3 linked regions of the Struthio camelus genome follow. The protein of the gene in region 2 purifies or fractionates together with the protein of the main gene of each other region. This does not show direct contact. Links are inferred from orthologs where the notes say so. Each region holds a gene or a part of one and is shown on either strand. Other genes may lie near its edges.

Evidence for each region.
Region 1: the proteins of SLC30A4 (region 2) and C26H19orf25 purify together in Homo sapiens (affinity purification with mass spectrometry; 3 studies listed by BioGRID and IntAct, counting the BioPlex papers as one, with this or other methods). This does not show direct contact. The link is inferred for Struthio camelus from reciprocal best matches to the Homo sapiens genes SLC30A4 and C19orf25.
Region 3: the proteins of SLC30A4 (region 2) and METTL9 purify together in Homo sapiens (co-immunoprecipitation; 3 studies listed by BioGRID and IntAct, with this or other methods). This does not show direct contact. The link is inferred for Struthio camelus from reciprocal best matches to the Homo sapiens genes SLC30A4 and METTL9.

What each region holds. Positions count from the first base shown.
Region 1 is NC_090967.1:6,861,858-6,869,508, reverse strand, and holds the start of C26H19orf25 (UPF0449 protein C19orf25 homolog), read right to left. Parts: upstream 2,999-7,651; 5' UTR 2,971-2,998; intron 2,762-2,970; exon of another isoform or gene 2,657-2,761; intron 1,735-2,656; exon of another isoform or gene 1,662-1,734; 5' UTR 1,637-1,661; coding exon 1,477-1,636; intron 1,329-1,476; coding exon 1,132-1,328; 3' UTR 1-1,131. Other genes in the region: REEP6 (receptor expression-enhancing protein 6), read right to left, coding at 2,999-3,309, 3,611-3,779, 4,171-4,309, 4,681-4,774, 4,891-5,062.
Region 2 is NC_090953.1:12,651,986-12,659,333, reverse strand, and holds the start of SLC30A4 (probable proton-coupled zinc antiporter SLC30A4), read right to left. Parts: upstream 3,002-7,348; coding exon 2,617-3,001; intron 1-2,616. UniProt on the Homo sapiens protein: Probable proton-coupled zinc ion antiporter mediating zinc import from cytoplasm potentially into the endocytic compartment. Controls zinc deposition in milk.
Region 3 is NC_090956.1:9,316,504-9,323,691, forward strand, and holds the start of METTL9 (protein-L-histidine N-pros-methyltransferase), read right to left. Parts: upstream 3,017-7,188; 5' UTR 2,899-3,016; coding exon 2,725-2,898; intron 2,369-2,724; exon of another isoform or gene 2,108-2,368; intron 1-2,107. UniProt on the Homo sapiens protein: Protein-histidine N-methyltransferase that specifically catalyzes 1-methylhistidine (pros-methylhistidine) methylation of target proteins.

The DNA.
Region 1 (7,651 bases), on a different chromosome or scaffold from region 2:
AGCCCCCAACTCCTGCTTTGGCAAGGAACCACCAGCCCATCACTGTCCCCGGCCACACGTAGCTCTCTCAGCTCTTTGCTTGGGCTGCTCTGGAGGAACACGCACACCGTGTTTTCCTTGCCCCTGACTGAGGTTTTCTCAGGCTGTCCACAAGCCTCTTGTAGAAGAAGACATTTTCATATTCCAGTTCATTAAGGTGCTGTAGAAACATGGGCACTTCATCTTTCTTTATGCCCACACAAACAGGGATGATCTTAGTCCCACTCTCATGAATGCTGTGATGCAGGTTCCACTCGGAGACACGCTGGCACCAAGGGTCACCCAGGGACCTGGCGGACAGGAGGAGGATGGCAACTCGGCTGGCCTGAATGACCTTGGTGGCTGTCAGGACGATGGACGTCCCCGCCACTTGGTCCTGATGCTCTGCATAGCCCTGAAACCCCTCTCGCTTCAAGGCTGCCAAGATGTCTGAGGCGATGCTGTCGTCCTCAGGGCAGTACCAGATGGAGAAGTCATAGGTGAACCGGTGGTGCGAGGACGCAGACATGCCACTTACCAAAGGGCAATGGCACTGAGTTCACAGAAACAACAAAGCAAACAAGCTCCGAGCGTGGCCTCCTGCACCCGGGCTGAGCCAGTCTTCCTGCTAGGAACCTGCTACTGCGTCCTCATGACGGATCCAAGGGCCAGCTCCCAGGATCCCTCCCTGGCATGAGCAGCGAGATCACTACCACTCCCCGGGGAGAGGTCAGGCTGCCAACGCGGCACAGCCCTTAGCTTCAGAAACGATTCTGTGGCCCCTCGCAGGCCCGATGAGGCAAGACAAGCCAGCGAAGCCGCATTCGCACAGCCTGCAGGGCCTCTGGGGTCACAGGGAAGAAGCAGCAATGTCAGTTCTAGTAAATCAAACACAAATGATGCTGCTTCTGTAGTAGCTTTCAGTGACTTAGGAATATGCAAACACAGTCTCAAGGGACGCCCTCAGGGCGCCTGTTGCAGGCTGGCCCACACCAAAGCCCTCTGCGATGAGAGCAGAGGAGTCTCGAGTGCCAAGGACCTGCGTTAGCTTTTCAAATCAAGTATGAGTCCGTGCTCCCAGCTGCCTCAGCTGTTCAAGGGAGGCAAGGGGTCTCAGAAAGCTTTTTGCCTCATTTCCAAGATATCCTGCTCCAAAGTCGCTCCCACCCGTCTCAGCTCCTCACATTTCTCCTTCAGCAGCTGGCAGGACTCCTGCAGCTGCTGGTTCATCTCAACGTAGGAACGGCTCTGCCGATACAAGCGCTCTCTTTCATCGGCAGCGTCCTCATGCTTCACGGGTGCGGGGAAATCTGGCAGGGTGGGAGAGGCGGCTCAGCGGATGCCGGCAGAGCGCCCCGTCCCTCTCGCCCCCGTCGCGCCCCACGGCCCTGACGGCCGCAGAGCAGACAGGTTTCTGCCGAGCCCGGGAGGACTCGTGGCGGGACCACGCGGGCTCACCTGGCGAGGGGCTGCCATCATGCCCACCTCCTCTGTGCGGCTCCGCGGCGAGCACGAAGACAGGGTCGGATGGGTGGGTGCCCTTCACGTCCGCCAGGATCTGCTCCACGGTGGGCGGCTCAGGCCGGGTGGGCAGCACCCTCTTGGCCTTGGAGCTCATCACGGGACAGGCTCATGCACAGAGCCTGGCGCAGAGGGCGCAGGGCTGACGGGGGCCGTGCCACTGCCGCTCCCCCGGACAGCCGGACCCCCCCCTCACTGCCGTTTGGACAGACATACGGACCATCCCTGCAATCTGTCCCTGGGACAGACAGATCCCCTGCCCTGGGACGGACAGACAGACAGACCTCCCCCCCCAACTGTCCCGGGCAACCAGGCTCCCCCCTCACTACCTGTACCCACTACAGACAGACCGCCTCCCCCCTTGCTGCTCCTCCAGACAGAGAGCCCCCCTCGCTGCCCTGGGATAGACAGACGCCCCTTGCTGTGCCCCTGGACAGACAAACTGCCTTTGGGATGAACAGCCCCCCTCCTCCCACCCCCAGACTGACAAATCGAGCTCCCTCATCCCCCCTCCCCCCCCGGGGACAGACAGGTCCTCCCATTGTTCCTCCAGACAGACAGATTGCGCACCATTGCCCCCCTGCCCCCCCCAGGACAGACAGACAGACACTCCCCCACTGCCCTCGGGGCAGGCAGACGCCCCTTGTACTGCCCCCCCCAGGACAGACAGACAGACCCCCCCACTGCCCTCGGGGCAGACAGACGCCCCCTGTACTGCCCCCCCCCAGGACAGACAGACAGACCCCCCCACTGCCCTCGGGGCAGGCAGACGCCCCCTGTACTGCCCCCCCCCAGGACAGACAGACAGACCCCCCCACTGCCCTCGGGGCAGGCAGACGCCCCCTGCACTGCCCCCCCCCAGAACAGACAGACAGACCCCCCCAGTGCCCTCGGGGCAGGCAGACGCCCCCTGCACTGCCCCCCCCCAGGACAGACAGACAGACCCCCCCACTGCCCTCGGGGCAGGCAGACAGACGCACGCCCCCCCCAGCCCCTCCAGGCAGACAGACTGACCTCCCATCACCTCAGGACAGACAGACAGACAGACCGACCCCCCCCTCCCCCCCGCGATACGGTCCTTTCACACGCAGGCCCGCCGCCCCAGACATCCCCTTACCCCGACCGGCCGCCGCCTCCCGGCCACCGTAGCGCCAGCGCCGCACGCGCCTCCTCCTCCTCCTCCCTCCCGCCCTCTTAGGACCACGTGACGGCGACGTCACCGCCCGCCGGGCCCCGCCCCCTGCTAAAGGACCGTGCGCGGCGGCGCGTTGCCATGGCGACGCCTCCCTCCCTCCGGGAAGGGGGAGCAGGGAGCACACGGGAGCGGCGGTTGGGGGCGCCGCGGCCCCGGGGCTTTATTACATGGGGGGGGGGGGGGCTCCTCCCTCCCCCCTCCCTCGCGACCGGAACCGGAAGCGGAAGCGGCCTCACTGGTCGCGCGGCGGCTCCGGCGCCGGCCTCATCGCTGCTCTGGCGGCTGCGGGGGCGAGAGAGGCGGCGCCGGCGTCACCCCCGGTTCGGCCCCAACGGGCGGCACCGGGGTGGTGGTGGGGGGGGGGAAGCGGAGGCGAGGGCCGAGAAACGGGGGGACGTCTGCGCTACGGGCGGGGCTGGCTAGGGAGAAGCGGGGGGGAGACGGGCCGGGCCGGGCGGCCCCTTGTCCCGGCAGCGGGGGGGACCTGCGGCTCTTACATACGGAGGAGCTGAGCTGTGGCTGAGGGGCCACCTCGGCCGCCAGGCGGGCTCTGCTGCTGACCAGAGTCTGCAGGACTGGACGGGGAGGCGCAAAAAGAAGGAGAGAGAGATTTAAAAGAGGAGGAGAGCGAGCCTCCGGCTCGGTGTGGACGGGGCGGTGGGCGGCCGAGGGCACAGCCCGCGGCGTGACGGGGAGACGCTCCTCTTGCTGGTGCTACGCGTCAGAGCAGCCCGCGTCCCACCGGGGTCCTGCTCAGCCCTCACGTCCCAAAACGCGTCCCTGAGGTCGCTCAGGGCGAACGCCCCGCTCTGTCCAGCCCCGGACACGGAGCCGGACGGTGAGGGCCGGGAGCAGGAGGCAAGGGACCCACGTTACCTTCTCGGGTGACGATGGAAGCCGCGTCCAGGGCTCTGGTGCTGAGGTTGCCGAGCACGTTGTCCACAGCCTGGTGGTGTTTGAGGAAGCAGGGCCGGATGACGTTCTGGTACAGCACCTGCGACCCGTTCCAGGACACGGGGGCCATGCACCATACCAGGAATAGGCACTACAAGGAGGAGAGACACTCCAGAACTGGAAGACCGAGGCTGGGAGGGGAGGCAGGGCATGCAGGAGCTGAGCTAGGCAGCCTCCAGAAGGAGGGAAGTTATGGGGCAGTGGCTGAGGTGCTCCACCCTCGTCCAGCCTGGCTCTGCTCCTGTCCAAAGGCAGCTTCCCAGGGCTGGAGGTACCAGGGCCATGGCTGACTGCAGTGAGCTCTGCAGGGGACAGTCCTGAGCAGGACAGCGGTCTCCCACTAAGCTACACCTGGCTGCCGCCACCACCACAACTGCCCTGCTATGGGGTCAGAGCCCATCACACGTTTTCCTGTAGGTTCAGCCATCGTGTGAGTGGGCTCCAGCCTGTGCAGGCCCTTGCTCCCACTGCGGAGCTGTTACCTTCCCAGCGTAGTAGAATGGGAACCAGTAGAGGAAGGTGTCAGAGAAGAACTCGGCTATGCTGAAGACGCCGTACACCACCCAGTATGTGAGCCACGTGGTGTCATCCTCCTTGTTGGAGCTCTCAATGGCTTTGATGCTGCGGGAAGAAGAGGGGATAGGTCATGGCTTCTTCAGTCCTGTTTCCAGGATGGGCATGTCTTCCCCAGTCCTCCAACTTTGGAGCAAACCTGGCTACCAGGCTCCGCTGCCCCAAGTTGAGACCTTGCCAGGCCCCAGGGTTTTCAAAATATTTGTCTTCAAGAGCCCTTGTTTCCTCGGGAGCTTCCTGATCATAACCACCATCCGGGGGTGTTCATTTACCAGAGATACCTGGTCCCTCAGCTAAGGCAGGGAACGCTCTTCAGCATGAGCACTTGATATTTAACATGCCGTTGGCAGCTCAGTAACAAGCTGGGCTGCCCAGCAGCAGATGCTGCAGGGAGGCCGGGCCAAGGCACCGGTACTTACGAGACATATGCAGGGTAGACAAAGCCAATGAGGTTGCAGAGCAGCGCTGCGCCATAGCCGAACGCGAGGTACAGCCCCAGGAACGCGACAGACCCTGGGCCGGGGGGAGACAGTGAGAGTCATGTATTTGCCAACATGGAGGTTGCCAGGAGAGACTTCCAGGCAGCAGCTCAGTTGAGCAGGTTTCTCATCCCAGCAGTGGGAATTCACCGTGCAGATCCTGCCGGCTGCTGCAGGCGGCCGACATCTGCTCCCCCTCAGCCTCCAGCTGGAGGCGGCACAAGGCAGCCCCGTGGTGCTCCAGCACGGCTATGGGAGCTAGCGAGTGTCCGGAGCAGAGGTACGAGTGCTGGGGACCTCCAGATGGGGAAGGGGTGTGCATGGTAACAGCCACTCCATGTTTATTTAAAAGGACCCTCCATGTATCAGGCTGCTGAGGTGCTCAACATGCACCTGGAGCAGCTGCGCTGATACCACGGACAGCCTGGCTCAGCCTGTCCCGGGGTAAAGGTGCTCCCTCTCCCAAGAGGATATGCACACACACCCTTGGACTCTGCCAGGCACGGACGGCACCAGAGATGCCCAGGCACAAGCTCCTGAGGAAGGAAGTTCTGGTTCTGCCACTGTTTGTCCCCTCTTTGAGCCGGAAGGGACTTTTCTGTAGCAAACTTGGAGGACTTTTGACACAGAGCAGGCCTGGACCTGGGCCAGTGCTGCAAAGGGGCTGAATAGCAGAGGCTTTAACACTCACACCTACAGTCCAAAGGTAAGGGACTTCACAGAGCAATCGCGCTCCTCCAAACACCTCCTCAGCAGCTGGCACGGTCTGCGTGCCGCGGAGTTCAGAGCCGCTCAGCATTTTGATAACCCGGACAACTCTACAAGGGCAAGCTGTGCTATCGGAGCCAAGAGCTCCGATACCAGCCCTGCTCCGGGAGGAGGGGAGCAGCCTGCAGCCAGCTGCGTGGGGGAGACGTGCCCGGCTGCGACGGGGCTGTGCAGGACGAGCTCTATCCTCCCCGCAGCTCTCCTCGTGGGAGCGGCAGGGAGCCTACACCAGATCTGTAGTCCCCCGAGCCCTGAGAGCGCACTCAAAGCTGCCCCCCTCCCTGTGTTCAGGGCACGCATCTCCTTCCTGCCTTCTGTACGCATCCCCTGGATGCGCTTGTGCTGAGCAGTCACCGTTCGTTAAGAATTCAGCCCCCTGAGAACAGCAATCCAAACCCGCTTTCCTGTTATTAAATTAAATCATTAAATTAAATGTAATCCAAAGCTTTGGTTGTTTGGAATCTCCCCAGCCTCAGAGGCTGGCGGGAAGCAAGATCGGAGAGCTGGGAGAATCTGCAAGAGCCCCGATGCTTGGGAGGGTGGGAGCCCGAAAAAGCAGCCCTTGCTGCCAAAACCAGTGCTGCAGCAAAGAGCCGTCGTTCGCATGCTGGACCCCTCTCCTGGCGCGCGGGGCAGCGAGGCGCTGGCACTGAACACGTCCCTTCCAGCCCAGCTGCACCCCGGCCACACAGACACCTGCCTGAGGCAGCCAAAAGCAGACCCCGAAGGGACAGAGGGCAGAAAAGCAACCCTGGCCCACGCAGAGCTAAAGGAAGGACGATCACTGTCACATCCCAGCAGCGTCACTGCTATTGCGCGCCCTGTTCATGACACCTCTACATGTGCAAAAGCCTCTTATTCTGCAGCTCGCAGGAAAGCCAAGGCTTAAGCCCACCTGTGATGGGAATTAGAGGAAAGCCTTTGCTCAGGCATGAAGGACGGATTATCCCAGATTTGCTCACAGCAGCATTTCTTCTCCTTTCCCTGGCTCCCAGCACCAAGGTGGCTTTGGGTCTTTCCAAAGAGACAGGCAGGAGCAACACCATTTTCTTGCAGTTTGCATGGAGTGATCACAAGCTTCCCTCAAAGGAAAACTAACAGGGAGGTTCAGATAGCTCTGGGTTTCATTCTCTGAAGAGCCCTAGAACAGATTTTATGGGCTGCCTAAGTTTAGTCCCTGGAGAAATTTATATAAAAAGGAAAGAGACTTAGTGTATAAAGAAAAGCCTTGTGCTTCAGGAGGGAGGAAGCAGACACGTGCGAGTCCTGCTTCTCATCCCCTCCACCAACGTGTCTCCTGCCCGACCGCTGCACTCCCTTTCTGCTCCCCGTGGCCTCGCCAACCCCGCTCGGCCCTCCGTGGGTCTCACCTCACGCAGCCAGGGACTCGCACGCGTTTCTCCCGCTCCAGCTCCCCTCCCTCCCCAAAGCGTTTTGCACAGGTCGGCGTGAGACCCACATCCTCCTCAGGCAGCAGACGCCGTCAATTCTCACCCTCCAGCAGCACTCAAACCCTGGCCTCAGGGCTGATGCACAAAATCCCCCACGGAGACCCAGCTCTGTCTCCTTACAGAGGAGGAGGATTTGGAAGAAATCTAATTGACAAAAATAGCATTTAAAAAGAGCGCGAGGTTTTGCTGACACAGCACATTGGGAGCGGGATATCATCCTTGTCCAGCACAACTTTTACCCAGCTCAAGCTGAGGTACAGCTTGCCCAGAGCCTCTGCACGGCAGCACCTGGGTCGTTAATGGTTCAAAACATGCAAGACGGACGCTGCTGGTTTAAAACACAAATTAGTAACTGCTCCAAGCCCAGGCAAGAGGAGAAAAGAAATCTGATATCTGTTGTTTAGTCACAGCCTGTCCTTTCACAGGACTGAGACGCGAGAAGACAGGTATTAGCTCCTCGGTGTAAGTGATGCCTCTGTGCTTTTCCTACTAACAAAAGCACATCATACAAATGCTTCTGAGCACAACCAGAGCCCCAGGACTTTCTGCCTGGAAGACACCTGAGCATCAAGCATCACTTCCAAGCACAACCTGCTTGGAGAATGCAACCAGCACATGCCCATTCATGCACGTGCTTCCCCAAACGAAGTGGAAAAACGAGCTTTACAGCAGGGAAAGAGCCACAAAATCAC
Region 2 (7,348 bases):
AGGTCAAGATCCACAAAAGTATTTATCTAAGCAATTCGTATTTATTTTCTGTGGAAGTTGGATGCACACATATTTTATGGGTCTGGGCCTTAGTGCTTTATGCCTCAGTGCCCAAATAATGAAACAGGGCTGGTAAGAGCATAGGCAGACCTGATGACGATGAGTCTATGCTACAGTACTAATGCTTTGTACAGACAAATCAATCATCCTGATCTGAGCTTGCCGAAGTCCTGGCCTTAAGCGAGAAGCGACGGTGATGCAACACTGATGGGGGAATATTTTTACTCTCAATGCCTATTACTTCCAGTGCTGTCCCTATATTAGCTGCAGAGGGGTATGCAATAGCGTGAATCAAGTCAGAAGCCCCCAAACAGATGCAGTCTCAGTGACTTCAGCATCAAGCTGCAAAGAGCTCAGGAATACCGTTCAGTAAGCAGCCCTTCAGATAGACTAAATTCAGCATACAGCAGGACTCCGATACGAACACGGTCACATAAAACCATCCTTAGGATAAAGGATGTCTACACTTGAGATAAGATGCTACATCCATTATCAAATTTGCCTGAGTTCACACTGAACCAAAATCAGCCAGATTTTCTCAGCCAGAAAAAAACAGAGACAGAGGGGTGCCAACAGAGGCAGTCAAACAGATCTCTGTAACAGGTTTGAAGCTAAGTGCCTTATCCATGATTAGATAATGTACTGTGGAAGTGTTGTTAATGATTAACCAACCACACACTGAAAGGAAGATCTTGAAGACAAAAAACACTCTTTTCCATTACCCCATCTTCCTGAAATGAGGCCCCAAGTAAAACCATGATGCAGATAAAGTCAATCCTCTGGTCTATCTCAGAAAAACAGACCATTTCTCCCAAGGATTTTTTTTCCCCATGTATGTGGGACAAATTGTATTATTTATATTCAAACCATGTTTTTGGCCCTAACCCATACTGTAGAAGTTTCTGTCTTAAAGATACAATCCATAACAAATGATGTGAGAGCACTAGCTCATTTCACAAGAGCAGTCATCAGATCTTCAGTTGTCACTGACCCAAGCTTGGATGCGTGAGAAAGAGGAGGCAAGTCCCCTGTTCTATGTGTTACTGTACGCGTGGCGCATCTGTTCCTTACTTCCAGAAATTTTTTTGTGACTTTTTTTCTAGCAAATTTTGGCCAATAAATTCTCCAATTTAGACTTGTATGATCAAATGAAAACAATTTAAAAGCAATTAATTGGCACAGTTGCTAGTGAGACCTGGCTCCACCTAACTGAATGTCTAATGATTGATAATGATGTACTGGCAGTATGTAACACTCCCCACTACTTTCAATCAGGGGAGAGAGGATGACAGAGTTTATGCATTCTTCAGGAGGGTGAGCAACGCCAAGCGGACGCACTACATGGCATGGCATGGTACTTCCGGCATGTTCCCGGAAGACAGATGGTAACAGGACACTGATAACGAATTGATAAGTGAACAGGGGTTATAAGAGGAACGCTATGCTTAATACAAATGATTAGAGAATGGGGAGGGCCTAACTTTTAATAGCTCATCTACACATCCAAGGGACATTTAACTTCAGAGCTTATTTCAGTGCCACTATAGCCTATTAAATGAAGTACAGTCTTATTTTATACAAATTGCTGTATCATGTACAGGTTCTCTTGAGCCTGGATAGCTAGTGACAGCATGCCTTTATAAGGGAGTAATAAAAGCTGAACTTGAGCACCAGATTTATTCTTCCAACCAACAATCGAATCCTTATATAGGAACAAGCTTCCAGGTAAAACCCAACATACTTCTTCCAAGTACTAACAAACAAAAACCGCAAAAGAATTAAATCATGTGATCAAAGTAAATTAAATCAATAGGTGTTTTAAAGCTTCTAATTACAACACTTAAGAATACCGAGGGGTTTGATTAATATCTCTATGGAGCATGTGCTAGTACGGAGCACAGCAGGAAACCAGCAAGTTGTCAAAAGAGGGGTTTCTTTACTGGATTGTTATTACTTACAGCTTCAGAGTTTGTCTTTTCAGCTGTAAAGAACACTGCATTGCTGTATCTAAGGATGTAAATACCACCATACCACACCACACCACACCGTATCACGCTGGATGGTTTACCCCCAGAACGCTAGAGTTTTGTTACTGTAGTTAAGTGTCATCCTTAAAAGCTACGCGTCCCCCCTTCTGTTGCAAACACAGCACTATTTTACGGCAGCAATTAAAAAATACCAAGGATGAAGTTATCCATCTTCTTCTATTTGTTTATGCCTACATGATACCATGCCTTTTTCCCCTCGTGAGAAACCAGCTTACAAAGTTACAAAACGGGGGAAAGAAAAAGCCATTAGATATATTAAACGTGTGTGTGTGTACTGCAAGCCGTTTTGGGGGCTTGCTCCGGTTCGGGTAAGTAAAGTTGGCCGACCCCCCTCCCTTCCCTCGCACGGCAAAGGCACGTGGACTTCGCTCCTTCTCCGGCCCTGAAGGCGCCGCCCGCCCCTCCGACCTCTCCCCGCACCGGCCGTTTCCCTCGCGTCGCGTCGCGTCGCGTCAGGGCCGGGGCAGCGCCACGAAGGGGCCTCGGCGCCGCAGAGCCGCCAACTCACCCACGAGCTCCCCCGCCATGAAGAGCAGGTAGAGGGCGGCGGCCAGGCCCAGCCGCCTCTTCACCCTGCCCAGCCGGGCGCCCTCCCGCCGCCGGGCGCAGCCGCCGCAGGCCTCGGGCCGGCCGGGCCGGGCGCTGCGCAGCGCGATGTCCCGCTCCAGCAGCGACTCGTCGTCGGACGGCGGCGCCCCGGGCGCCCCGTTGAGCGGCGGCGCCGCCTCCTCCGCCTCGTCCGCCACCACCACGCGCAGCTTGTTGAACCGCGGCAAGTCCTCGTCGGCCGCCTCGTCGCACAGGTCGAAGGCACTGGAGTCGTTGAGGAACAAGGGCGCCTCGGGCCGCCGCAGCAGGGCCCGCAGGCTCGCCCAGACGCCCGAGCCGGCCATCGCGGCGGCGCCCGGCGCTCCGCGGCCCCTCGCAGGTGGCGACCTTTCCGCGCCGCCGCCCCGTCACGACATGCCGCAGCCGGCGCCGGCCCCAGCGCGGGCGCCGAGCTCAGCGGCGCGGCGCGGCGCGGCGCCCCGGCCCTCCTGCCGCCGGCCTGTCAGCCCGCCGAGCCCCGGTCAGGCGGCGCCGGGCGCAGGGCCGCCTCCCCGCCGGCGCAGGGGGAGCGCCGCCGCCATGCGCGTCACTGCGCTCAGCCGCGCGCGTCGGGCATCTCCGCGGGCAGCGGCGGCGCAAATCCCTGCGCGCTGCCCCGCCCCGCGCTGCCGGCCGGCAGGGCCCGCCGAGCGCGGCAGCGAGCGGGTCGGGTCGGGTCGGGCCGAGCCGGGCCGGGAGGCGGCGGCGGCAGCCGGCATCCCCTGCGCGCCGCCGCGAGCCGCCACCGCCCCGCAGCTGCCGCGGCCCCGGGCCGCGCTGCGCCTGCGCCGCCGCCCGCCGGGCCGCGGGTTCGGGGCCCGGCCGCGGCGCCTTCCCCCTCCCCGCGGGCCCCCGCGGCCGCTGAACGTGCCCGCCGGGAGAGGGCCGTGCCGGCGGCCCCCTCGTGTTCGTGTCGGCGTGCGGGGTGGGGTGGAGGCTTCGGCTGTAAAGCCCCGAAGCTCACATGTGGTCTGCGGGGGCACAAGCGACTCCCGCCCGCGCTGCGGGCTGCTGGGTCCTGGCTTCAGGCGTGGAAAGGTCGCGTCGTGCAGTTCGGAGTTGTCTTCCCCCCCACCACCACCACCACCCCTTCTTTCCTTGTAAAAGGTAAGGTGCTGCCCACCGTTTGCAGTCATTGCTGCCCCGGTGCTGCCTTGTCGGCTGCGGGAAGTCACGTGCCCCTTTTGTCTTAACATTCCTCAAAGGATGTAGGAGGACGCAAAAAATACCCTCCAAGGCCCTGCCGTTGTATAATCCCTTTCATAACCGCGCTCTAACCTAAAACAAATGAGACTCTTGCCTTTACTAATTCTGCTAAGGGTTTATTCCCCTCCTCACTGATGTGATGGCTAAAAATCTTCCTTCTGTTTTCCAGCCCGCACGTGTTCCTGGCCGGTTTGTACCCCCGGCCTGATTTTGTTGCTGTGCCAGCCACTTTCCCAAGAGAATAAACGTTCAGGAGAAACGTGGCCTGCCTGCGGGAAAATAACGTATCCTGTTTTGCAACCTGCTCGAAGGAAGTTACCAAGAAAGGACTGGGGAGTCGTATGAAACTGCTAGATTTTGGCACGAGGCGCTCGCTCGCTGCGCAGGGCTGAGAGCGGCGGTGTTGGCGCGGCGTCAGGCGCCCGGAGCGGCAGACCCCGGCCTGAGCGCCGCCCCGACACGACCCGCAGCAGGGGCATCCCAAGGCAAGCTGGCCTTGGGTGGAGACTGCCTACTGTTGTCGTCCAAAAATAAACAGTATTAGGCTTTGTCAGAGCTCGCTTGCCACTTTATAATGTGGCCGTTGTCCTGAGGATGTAATTTCGTGTCGCTCTGCCTCTGGTGGCTAACGAGGTGCCACCCCCGGGCCTTTCACCCCGCTCTGCCTGCAGCATCAGCTGCACTTGCTTTGGGGCCACACTATAGATGAGGTCACAGAAATGGCCAGAATGAGCAAATGCATACTGGGAGGAGCTGCAATTTTTGTGTTTGGATAAATGAGGCCATTTCCATGTTCATAACTTACATAGACTTGCCTAAGACCACCAAGGGGACAGTGAACGGTGTGCAAGCAGGAACGAGCAGTCGAGGCTGGGAACCTGTTAAGCCAGCCTTTCTGCCTAAGAAAACACTCCTAGATATGTTTCAGTCCAACCGTTCTTAATGTTTTTGTTCCCTGGATGATTTAACTCACCCAGACTCAATGCCAAGCACCTCTGGAGATCACCTGATCCAACCCCCTGCTGAAGCAGGGGCAGCTGGAGCAGGCGGTCCAGGACCGTGTCCAGTTGGGTTTTGAGTATCTCCAAGGATGGAGACTCCACAACCTCTCTGGGCAGCCTGTTCCAGTGTTTGACCACCCTCACAGTGGTGGTTGAAGAAGTGACCTATTAGTATTTCACATTGTCGTCCCTGAAGTCATACAGCATTTTCGAAGCTGATGGCTTAAAACATACTATTTGCTATACAACTCGGGCTAACCTATTGCTACTCAGATTTTTATTTGGGGAGGGTTTGCTATGTATGTAACTGCTTAAATCAGTTACAACAATAAAATCCAGAATGTGTAGCTGACCGTGTTGCATGACAAGTTTCTGAACACAGTTGCCACAATACAAAATGAAAAGCAGGCTTGATTATTTGCTGCTGAAGTGACAAATAGATAAGCATTTGCATTGCTAGCAGTCTGACATTTAACAGCTTTCTAGCAAATGAGCCTGCAATCTTGCTGGAAGGATAAAACCTCTGCAAGAAAGTTGTGTACAAGCTTTGGACAAGCATCTGGAGATAAAAAGGAAATGTTGAACTGTTGTAGGATTAGGAGTGGCAAAGAAGTGCCGAATTCAACAGAGGGTGTAGGAGAACAGGAGAGGAAGAAAGGAAACGTATGAGGATATTAAATACCGAGATTCAAGAACACTGTTGCCCACGGGTGGGCAGAAGAGAGATCTGCTAACAAGTCTAGGTTTTTTATAGTCTCCATTCAGTAGTTCTGCTGCTGTGTAGGGACTATGAGGCCAATTCAGCTAATCACACAGAGCATAATTTTTCTCAGCATAATTTTCTGCCTGTCCCATTGTATGGCTCCACGAATTATGTAGAGGGGGTTGTTGTTGCAAAATATCTCATTTTTAGTGGTATATTATATGGTATTATATGGTATATTACCCTAATAGTGGTAATGTTAGTACTGATTGTGCACAACTCCTTGGAATTAAATATCTAGGCCAGCAGGTAAGTATGCTTTTTGTTAGTTTAACCAAATGCTTACGTTCCTTATTCTAGGGTTCACTTAACCTCCTTTTTAAAACATCTGTTCCCCTTAGAAGAATCCTTACCTAACCCTTCACAGGATCATGAACTAGGTAAGTCATTTTTCACAATAATGTAATTTACATGGTTTATAAATTAATAATTTTCTTCATTTATAACCTGTTTTTTTACTCTAAATTCCTAGAGACTCCATAAACTAAGAGTAAGAGCTTAGTCGCTATCTAAGTGTAGTCCAACAGCCTGTTCTGTGTACCATTGTGCAGGGAAATGTAAGTATATAACATTAAGAATAAAGGTGGATGGAAAATAGTTATCGCACCCGACACACACACGCAAACCCTTTTACTTATGAGAGTTCCCAGCTCTCTCCGAAACAAAGATCATTTTGCAGAGGAAAACGAAGAAGGGAGGGTCTCTATCAATGTCTTTTTGGGAGCTTCTGGTTTGTTAAACAGTTAAATTTTAACTGCTCTAGAGAAACATACTAATGTTATATTCCAATCGTTAGCCTATTTCAGTAAGACGTGGGAGGGCCTGGAACAGGCAAAGCAGGAGCAGAAATCTGAAACTCCCACATCTCAAGTGAGAGTCTTGCAGAATGATTATCTTGCTTGTTCTTACTAGAAGCTCCATCTGGAAGCTGAGAAGTCTTTCCCACCGAAATTTTCCATGAAAGACAACTCTTTACCATTAGAAGAAACAGTAAATTAAATTGCCAACCAGTTCTAATTAAGAATATGATTCAAGACCGTTTAAGTTAGTTGCAAGTGCCTGTTGTTGTAATCTGTTGTCAGACCAGGCCTTTGATAGTGCTCCTTTAAAGCAAAAGCAGAGAAAAAGAAAGAAAAACAAGTAAGTTTTTAATTTGATGGCATAACAGTGACATAATTGTGGTCAATCGTTCATTAGAATATATATGAAGAAAAATATATGTGAATTCTTAACAGTGTTGTAGGTAAAAATGACGATTTTTTTTAAGGATGACAGGTATCTCAGAAGTCCATTTTTTGTCTCTGTTTCTGAAAAGCACTAGTGGGACTAACTGAATTTAATTTAATCTTGAAGGTGTGTGATTTTGCAGAAATATTGTAAGATTTTGCTGTCATGAAAAACACAAAGCCTGAGTCAGAACTCTTCAGGTTAAGATGGTACTATTAAGAAATAGAAACAAAATCCTATGCTGTGCTAATAAACAGTTAATTGGCTTAATGTTAACAAGAGCTCTGGGAGTGAAAAATGCCATGGACACAAAAACTGCAATAGTGTCATGCCGAAACTTTCAAAAATGTCAAAACATAGGGAACGTGATCAGAAATGCTCAGGTAATGCATTAAACAGAATCATTTTGTAAAGCTTTTCCATCTTGTTATGGTCATGGACGTTCTACCTAAACT
Region 3 (7,188 bases), on a different chromosome or scaffold from region 2:
GAGAGGAAGTCACTTAATGCATGTTTACACCATGTTCAGCACAATGGGACTGCTGGTCACTACTGTAATACAAATAACAACAGTACAGGATTCGTATTCCAGTATCCTGCTGCTTCACAGTAACAGTGCCAACAAACAGAGGGGAGTAGACAGCTGCAACAAGATCATTGTGCCAGATTGATAAACAGCAGCTCCATCAGACACAGACCCCAAAGTAACAAGGTATTTCCATACCCTTCAGCCAAGGGAGCAAATATATGCCTGCACAGGTCTATTTCGAAAACTTGCACGTTGCGTACCTCCCTGCAGAACTGGGCTCTCAAACAGTGCTTCCCAACAGCATTTGTAGGTAGCACGAGTAGATGATCCATCCCTCTAAAAACTAGACTTTGAGCAAGTCTGTATCACACGACGCAGCATGGCACAAGGATCCCCATGACAGCCCATTTACCAGTTTGGGTCTTCTCTCGCGGCAGCACAGTATGAAGTGAGTGAACCAGCACAGACCAGTGATTCCCAAAAGGAATTGTCAGCGAATTGTGAAAAAGCACCAAAGCAGCAGCCTGCATGTTTTGTCCATCCAGCTCTGGAAACCAATTTCAAAAGTCTGGCAGAAGTGAACAATCCCAGGGAGCTGAGGAGCAGGCTGGGATATGGGTCAGGTTCAGCAGCTGTTCATGAGGCTGCTGCCTAGCTGCACTGCACAGGCTTGGAGTGGCTCAGAACATCTACCTTGCGCTGCCATTTTCAATCCAGAAGGTGGTGTATAAAGCATCAGAAGTTTGGGAATCACGGGCTTTGATCCGTAAGTAACGTGACTACGTATGTGCTGTCCCTGAGCTTATTCATAAACCTTGGTTCTGCACTGAATCTCATCATCTGTAGTTCCAGGATCCAGCCATGGAAGCCATGGAAACCAACAGTCTTTTGTCTTCAAGATTTCCAAATATTGATATATATTGATATAACCACTGGAAGAATGATGATGGTGGCAACTTTGAGAAGAGGAGCCCCTTTGAGAAGGGAAGCATATTTCCAGAAATTAGGGATTGCTCATAGCCCTCCTCCTCCTTCTTCATAGTTAAAGCTTACCTTGCATAAGGTTATCGGTTAAAACGTTTATAACTGCCGATATAACGCTAGTGAGTATTAGAAATATCAGGAAACTATAAGCAAAAAGTGCCCAGGATAAAAACAATACAAATTTCAAATAACAAAAGTAAGGAAAGAAAGCTTCGTTCTGGAACTACTTCCTCAAAACAGAAATTCCTTTTGTTTTTCTCCTTGTCCAAAATGCAAGGAGCCCTTTTCAGGCCACTAGTCTCACAACATCAATCTGTACCAATCTGGTATAGCACAATAGTAGAAATACTACAGCGCATCAAAGAAATCTGAAGAGAAATTTGTGAAGACCTTTGTTATAATAAAAATTATTATTGGCAACTCTTGCCTAATATTAATGAAAGGAAGAAAATACCATTTCCGTTAACTAATGTAAAACTGAGGAACTCAGTAAAACTTCAGAGAGTGAAAGTACCTGCGGGTCAACATGCAACCCTTACTTCTGAGGGTAACCCCACAAACTCGGTAACCGATCTTTAAGAACTCACTAAACAATCAATACTTGAAGTTTAAAACCCAGATCCTATACATTAGAGATGGAGACTATCCACTGCAGACCATCTATCTACCTGTGAATGAAATAATCACCTCCGTGGCCCGTGTTCTTATCTCCTCGTCTTTCTAGTACAGTTTTTAACAACAGAAAAGAACTGCACGTTTTCTTTGTTCGCAGGAAGAAAGTTTGCGCTGGAAAGCTAAATTCTGCTTCCATCCTCCCCTTTACGTACCGAACGATCCAAACAGCAGTAATCTATTCGCTCAGCAGCAAGATCCCCGGTGTTAGCACCCACCTTGAGCACTAACAAAGCTAAAACAGTAACGCATCAGCTCGAAGAGTTACAGCGTATAATCACGTCCTTCCTTTTGTCAGCATCCCTCGAGTATTTCGGGTTACGTCTTCTTCGTTAGCTGGGCTATGCGGATTTTCCTTAGAATAAGTCAGCCCCTTCCTTCGGCGCTGCAGCGGTCATGACCAGCGCTTCTCAAGCGCCGCCGGGTTTTCAGGAGCGCAGCCCGGGCCCGAGCGCGTCCCAGCACCGGGGCCGGGCCGGGCCCCAGGGCCCCGCGGGCGGTGCTGCTCGCCGCCTGCGCCGCCCAACAGCTCCGCTCGCCCTTTCTCGCCGCCGGATCACATCGCCACCTCCGTTTCCAGCTCGCCTTCCGCTACCGGCAGTTCAAGGCCTCGGCCGGCTTTGCAGCTTCCCTCCTCGCCGCTGTTTCGGGCTGTTTGTCTCCAGACGCCCCGGTACGAACCCAAACGCGGCTGCGGCCCCACCCCGCCCCCGCCACCTGCGCGTCCTCCGGCCGCCGGTTACTCAGGCAGCTCCCGGCGCGGGGGGGGGACACGACACGGGACCGCCAGGGGCGGGTGCTGCCGCCGCTCTCGCCGGCCGGGTTTGACACCCGGCTCGCAGCCGCGGCCGCCGGGCTCGCCCCGCCGGGAGGGGGGGCTCCGCCGCCGCCGCGGCCCCCGGCGCACCCCCGGCTCGGCGGCGGGGCGGGCGCAGCGGGACCCTCCCTTTGTCTGGCGCTGCCCGCCCCGCCGCCGCCGCCGCCGCCTCAGGAGCCCGCCCGGCCCCCGGCCGCCGCCCCCGCTGGTACCTGGTGGCTCTCGCTGGTGCCCGGCGCCGGCGGGCTGTGGCTGCCCATCATGTTGGCGTAGAGGGACCTGGATAAAGGGCTCCGCAGGTACCTGGCGGGGCCAGACCACATCCTCCTCCGCAGCGCCCACAGCAGCAGCGTGTAGCAGCCCAGCCAGCCCAGCCACAGTCTCATGAGGGGGGCAGGGGCGCGCGGTCACCCCCTCCCGCTGCCGCCGCCTCCCCTCGCCATGGCGGCGGCGGCGGCGGCGCCAGCAGCACGCGACCCGCCGCGCTCGGCTCGGCCCGGCCCGGCTCCCCTTCGGGGCCCGCGCACAGGCGCGGGGCGGAACGCGGGGCGCCGCGGCAGCGCGGGCCGCCCGGACGGCTCGGCTGCGACACGCCGGGGGCCTGGCACGCGCCGGCTGCCTCCCTCTGGCTCGCCAATCACAGCGCGGGCGGGGCCGCGGCGCGGCAGGGGCCGCCGCTTTCAAACCGGAGCGGGGTACAATGGCGGCAGCGGCGGCGGCTCGTCCCTCCCCTCCGGGCATCGCCGGCAGGAGCGGCGCGCGCGCGCTCCTCCCCTCAGCGGAGGCGGGCGCCGGCCGCCCCCCTGCCGCGCACGTGCTCGGCGCCGCCCCGCCCCGTCGCCCGGGCGGCGGCTGGCGGGCGCGTGCCGCCCTCCCCTCTCCTCTCCTCCCGCGCCTGCGCAGAGCGGGGGTGGGGGAGGGGCGCGAGGCGGCGCCGTCGCCACACGAGGCCCGGGCGGCCCCAGCGCGGCCGCTCTGCGGCGCGTCGCCTCCTCGGGGCGGAAGAGCCCAAACGGCGCGGCCTCCCCGGGGCGCCCGCTCCCGCTTTCCTTTAACCGGGGGGGGGGGGGGGGAGTTTCCAAGGGAGGACGAGCTGCCGCCTAGGGCGGCGCGCCGTTGGGGAGCGGCGGTTTCCCCCAGCGCCTGGCGCGCTGGGCTTTCTGCCCCTCGTTGCCCTCATTAAGGTGTAAAGCGTTGGGATTAGGGCCTCAGTTTGAGAAACGCCTGGCCGCTGCAGTAGTATGGATGGAAGCGGTGCTTTACCTGTTGTTTTGTTTCCATTCCCTTCTTCTGGTAGGCGCAGCACTAAGGTCGGCCAGCACTGAGGCGTCGAGATGTGTGCACAGCCCCAAACATAAGCGCTTAAAGATAAATTGGTCGTTACGGAGTCGGCTCTTTGACAGGCGCTTCTGCGTACAAATGGAAGCCTACACGTCTTTTGATACGAAATCTGGCTTCAAGTCCTCAAACACTGCATTTTTTTCTTGTAACTATTTTGCAATGGCTCGAAGCAAACCGTTGCTGCTAGCGTGGGATTCTTGCAATGTTTTGACCTAAAAAGGTCTCTCAAATTTGCAGCCTTGGTTCTGCGGCAGGAGCACAGTTAGTGTTTAGAGCAGACGGATCTGAGGTCAGCTTGGTTCCTGAACGTCTTCCTGAAGCGGTGGGGTATCCATGCAGAGGAAGGAGAAGTCAGTGCGTAGGTAGGAAAACGGGAACTTGAGAGTCAGGCTCCCGCGTGGTTGTGTGCCTGGGAGCGTGGGGGCACAGCGGAGACCAGCGGAGGAAAACGCGTGCTGAATGCAGCTAATACCCCCGGCAGAACAGCCTGGAACAGACAACGCTTATCAAAACATCTTAATCTGGGACAGGTCAAGCTGGATAAAAGCCTTCTGGCATTTAATACAGTAGCTTATGCCTTTGTTAGGACAAGAGCATTAGTTTCTGTGGGTTTGGGTTAGGTTTTATATCACTGTGCCCAATTACTCTCTAATAAACGCAGGTTACTCATGGTAGTAGCACGGAAAGTGAGGAATACCACATCCAACTGAAAGAAAGAAAACCTAGACAAAGCCCATCTCATTAATCAAATTCCAGCTGAGTACGGCATCAGGGCTATCGTCTCTAGTCTCTCAGACATTTTTTTCCTAATGAACACAAGCAATTGGCATCTTTCCTTTTGATCAGATTTGAAAGGCTGGAGCCTAGCCCCTTATTTTCCTGGTAAGGATGACACAAAGTCAAACCACCACAAGGATCCTGACTTCTACCGGGAAGATCCTCTGATCAAGCACTAATAAAATCCAACCTTGGTTAGCTTGGGAAATAAGAAAACCAGAGCAACGACAAAATACTGCCAGAGGATTTTTTCTGTTCAGTTTATTTTCACTGATGTTCAGCCTCCTTAAGGAGAGTTTTTGATGTGAGAGCTTTGGACACTTTTCCAGACAAAGATTCATTTTTCTCCACTAGCTAGACGGGCAAGATGCCTTTTCGGTCTACTACTACTTATTTGGTTTAGGATCAGGACTTTCCTTTCTATGTATCTTCTTGTTTGTAAAGACAGATTAGCTTATTTTCCCCCCCGGGATAAAACAGCTTTATAATCAAAATTGAAAATGACAAAGCAAAATTTGCTGCTTTTTAAACAGACATCTGCTTGCAACGTGTAAACCACTAAATAAAATTGCCTCTGGTTAGTTGCATGTGGTTCACAAGGAAATGTATCTTAATGTTATCACAAGAAATATACAGATAATGAGTTGCATACTGAATAAATTAAGAAATATGCTAGTTTTCATCTCTGTATTGTTATTATACAACCTGGGTATGTTTTAATGAGATGTTCCAAAGTTCCTACTCTGTATTACATTGGTCATTAATATTCTACTCTGGTAGTTGTATACTAAGCATATTTTTTCTCTTGACAAGCTATAAAAAATGTACTATTCATGCACATTTAGGCAATAATTTTGATGCACTGTCATTTGCACATATGCTGATGGAATTATAACCTGTATCAATTGTTGGACAATCTCAGAAAACTGTTCTTTGTATAAATGTATGCATATATCATTCAAAGCAATTAGCACGGTTGGGGGAGGATTTGCAGAAAAAAAATATAATCGTATTTCTTCCTTGTTTCTCCTCATTTTTTTAGATACCTCTTCTTCATGTTGGGAAAATTCTATATTTTATTTAATACCAAGGGTCCAAAAGGTCCAAAACATATCCAAAGGTTTGAATACTTACCTATAAAGGAGTGTTTTTAAGACGATTGCGTGCGCTTTGTGGTGATCACAGGGAACCTTGTCTTCTGGAGCAGGATTCACACAGCTCCACAAGCTAGCTAGCTCCACAGCTTCATGTATTCTAGGATGTAAATCTGCAGTCTTCCCAATCAAGCAGAGCAATAAAACAACCTTTGCTTTTGTTATTTAAGTAGTAGTAAGAAAATGATTACCAGAAAGAGGGCTTTAAGTTAAACAAACACAGATACCTTACCTAAAATCCCCTTTCCCAAAGTAACCTAGGAAGCCCATTTTCTTCACCCATGCCTCCTGGTGCCTGTGGGTTCGATCATCCAGCTCTCTCAGACAACGCCTGACAGCTCCCCCAGTCTCAGCTCTATGTTCCTTTATAAAATCTGCTAGAATTTTTTTTCATTGCATGTGTTATTAAGCTTTTTCCTGAGCTGACATAATACTGTAAGAAAGAGCTCCTAAGTATTTGTGGAGATGTGGCTTATCTTAACTGTTCCTTTCCCTTCCTGCTTTGTCTTTCCTGACAGCCCCCATTAAGCTATACAACTATATTCAAATGTAAACATCCTACTAACCATGTCAACATAGCATTATTCATGAATTACTGAGCAGTTCCAAAATCAGCACAGCAGGAGACTGGGAAGGTCATTTTGTACAAGAAGAGAACAGAGACAGGACTGTAACCTCCACAAAATATAAATCTAATTCTTTCCTACTTAAAATTCGATACTTTTGTTGTCCTTTATTCGATCTGTTTTCACTCCATCACTAACCACATATTATATTACTACTTTATGATTAGACTAGCATTCTGTCGTGTCTATTATATAACATCCTTTTAAATCCAACAGACACCTTTACCTATTGACTTCCAATAAATAAGATTCATTCAGTGTATTAAGATCTAAATTCTGAGAACCTGTACGGAAACTCTATGAAGTAATGGGATTCAAGCATCAAGCTTCTAACTCCGTGAAGTTATCATAATGTTTCTGTTTCATATTATACACATCTAAATCTTCTCTGTCAATTATGAGGCTATTTTAGACACTCTTAAATTATCAAGATTAAATTGTGGCATTTTTCCAGCAGGAAGACTTCAAGCTCAGATACTGTTAGCTAATGGGGAGTGAAGGCAGACAAACCAGCTGCTGCAAGACACTGTACTTTCGCATTTGATCATCATTTACTTGATTCATGGCCAAAAACAATCATGTAGGTTTAATAAAGGATAACAAAGTTTAGTGGATGGCAGAGAAATGGAGAATAAGCGATGTCAATCATAGCGTACTGTCAATCTTCTATTGCTAATTCTTGGATTAAGACTACGGCCTGAATTTAACCAGTTTGCCAGCTCCCTTTTGGTTTGACCCTTGCTGTGATGAAAGGTGCTTTTTTCTTGTCCTCTTAGCA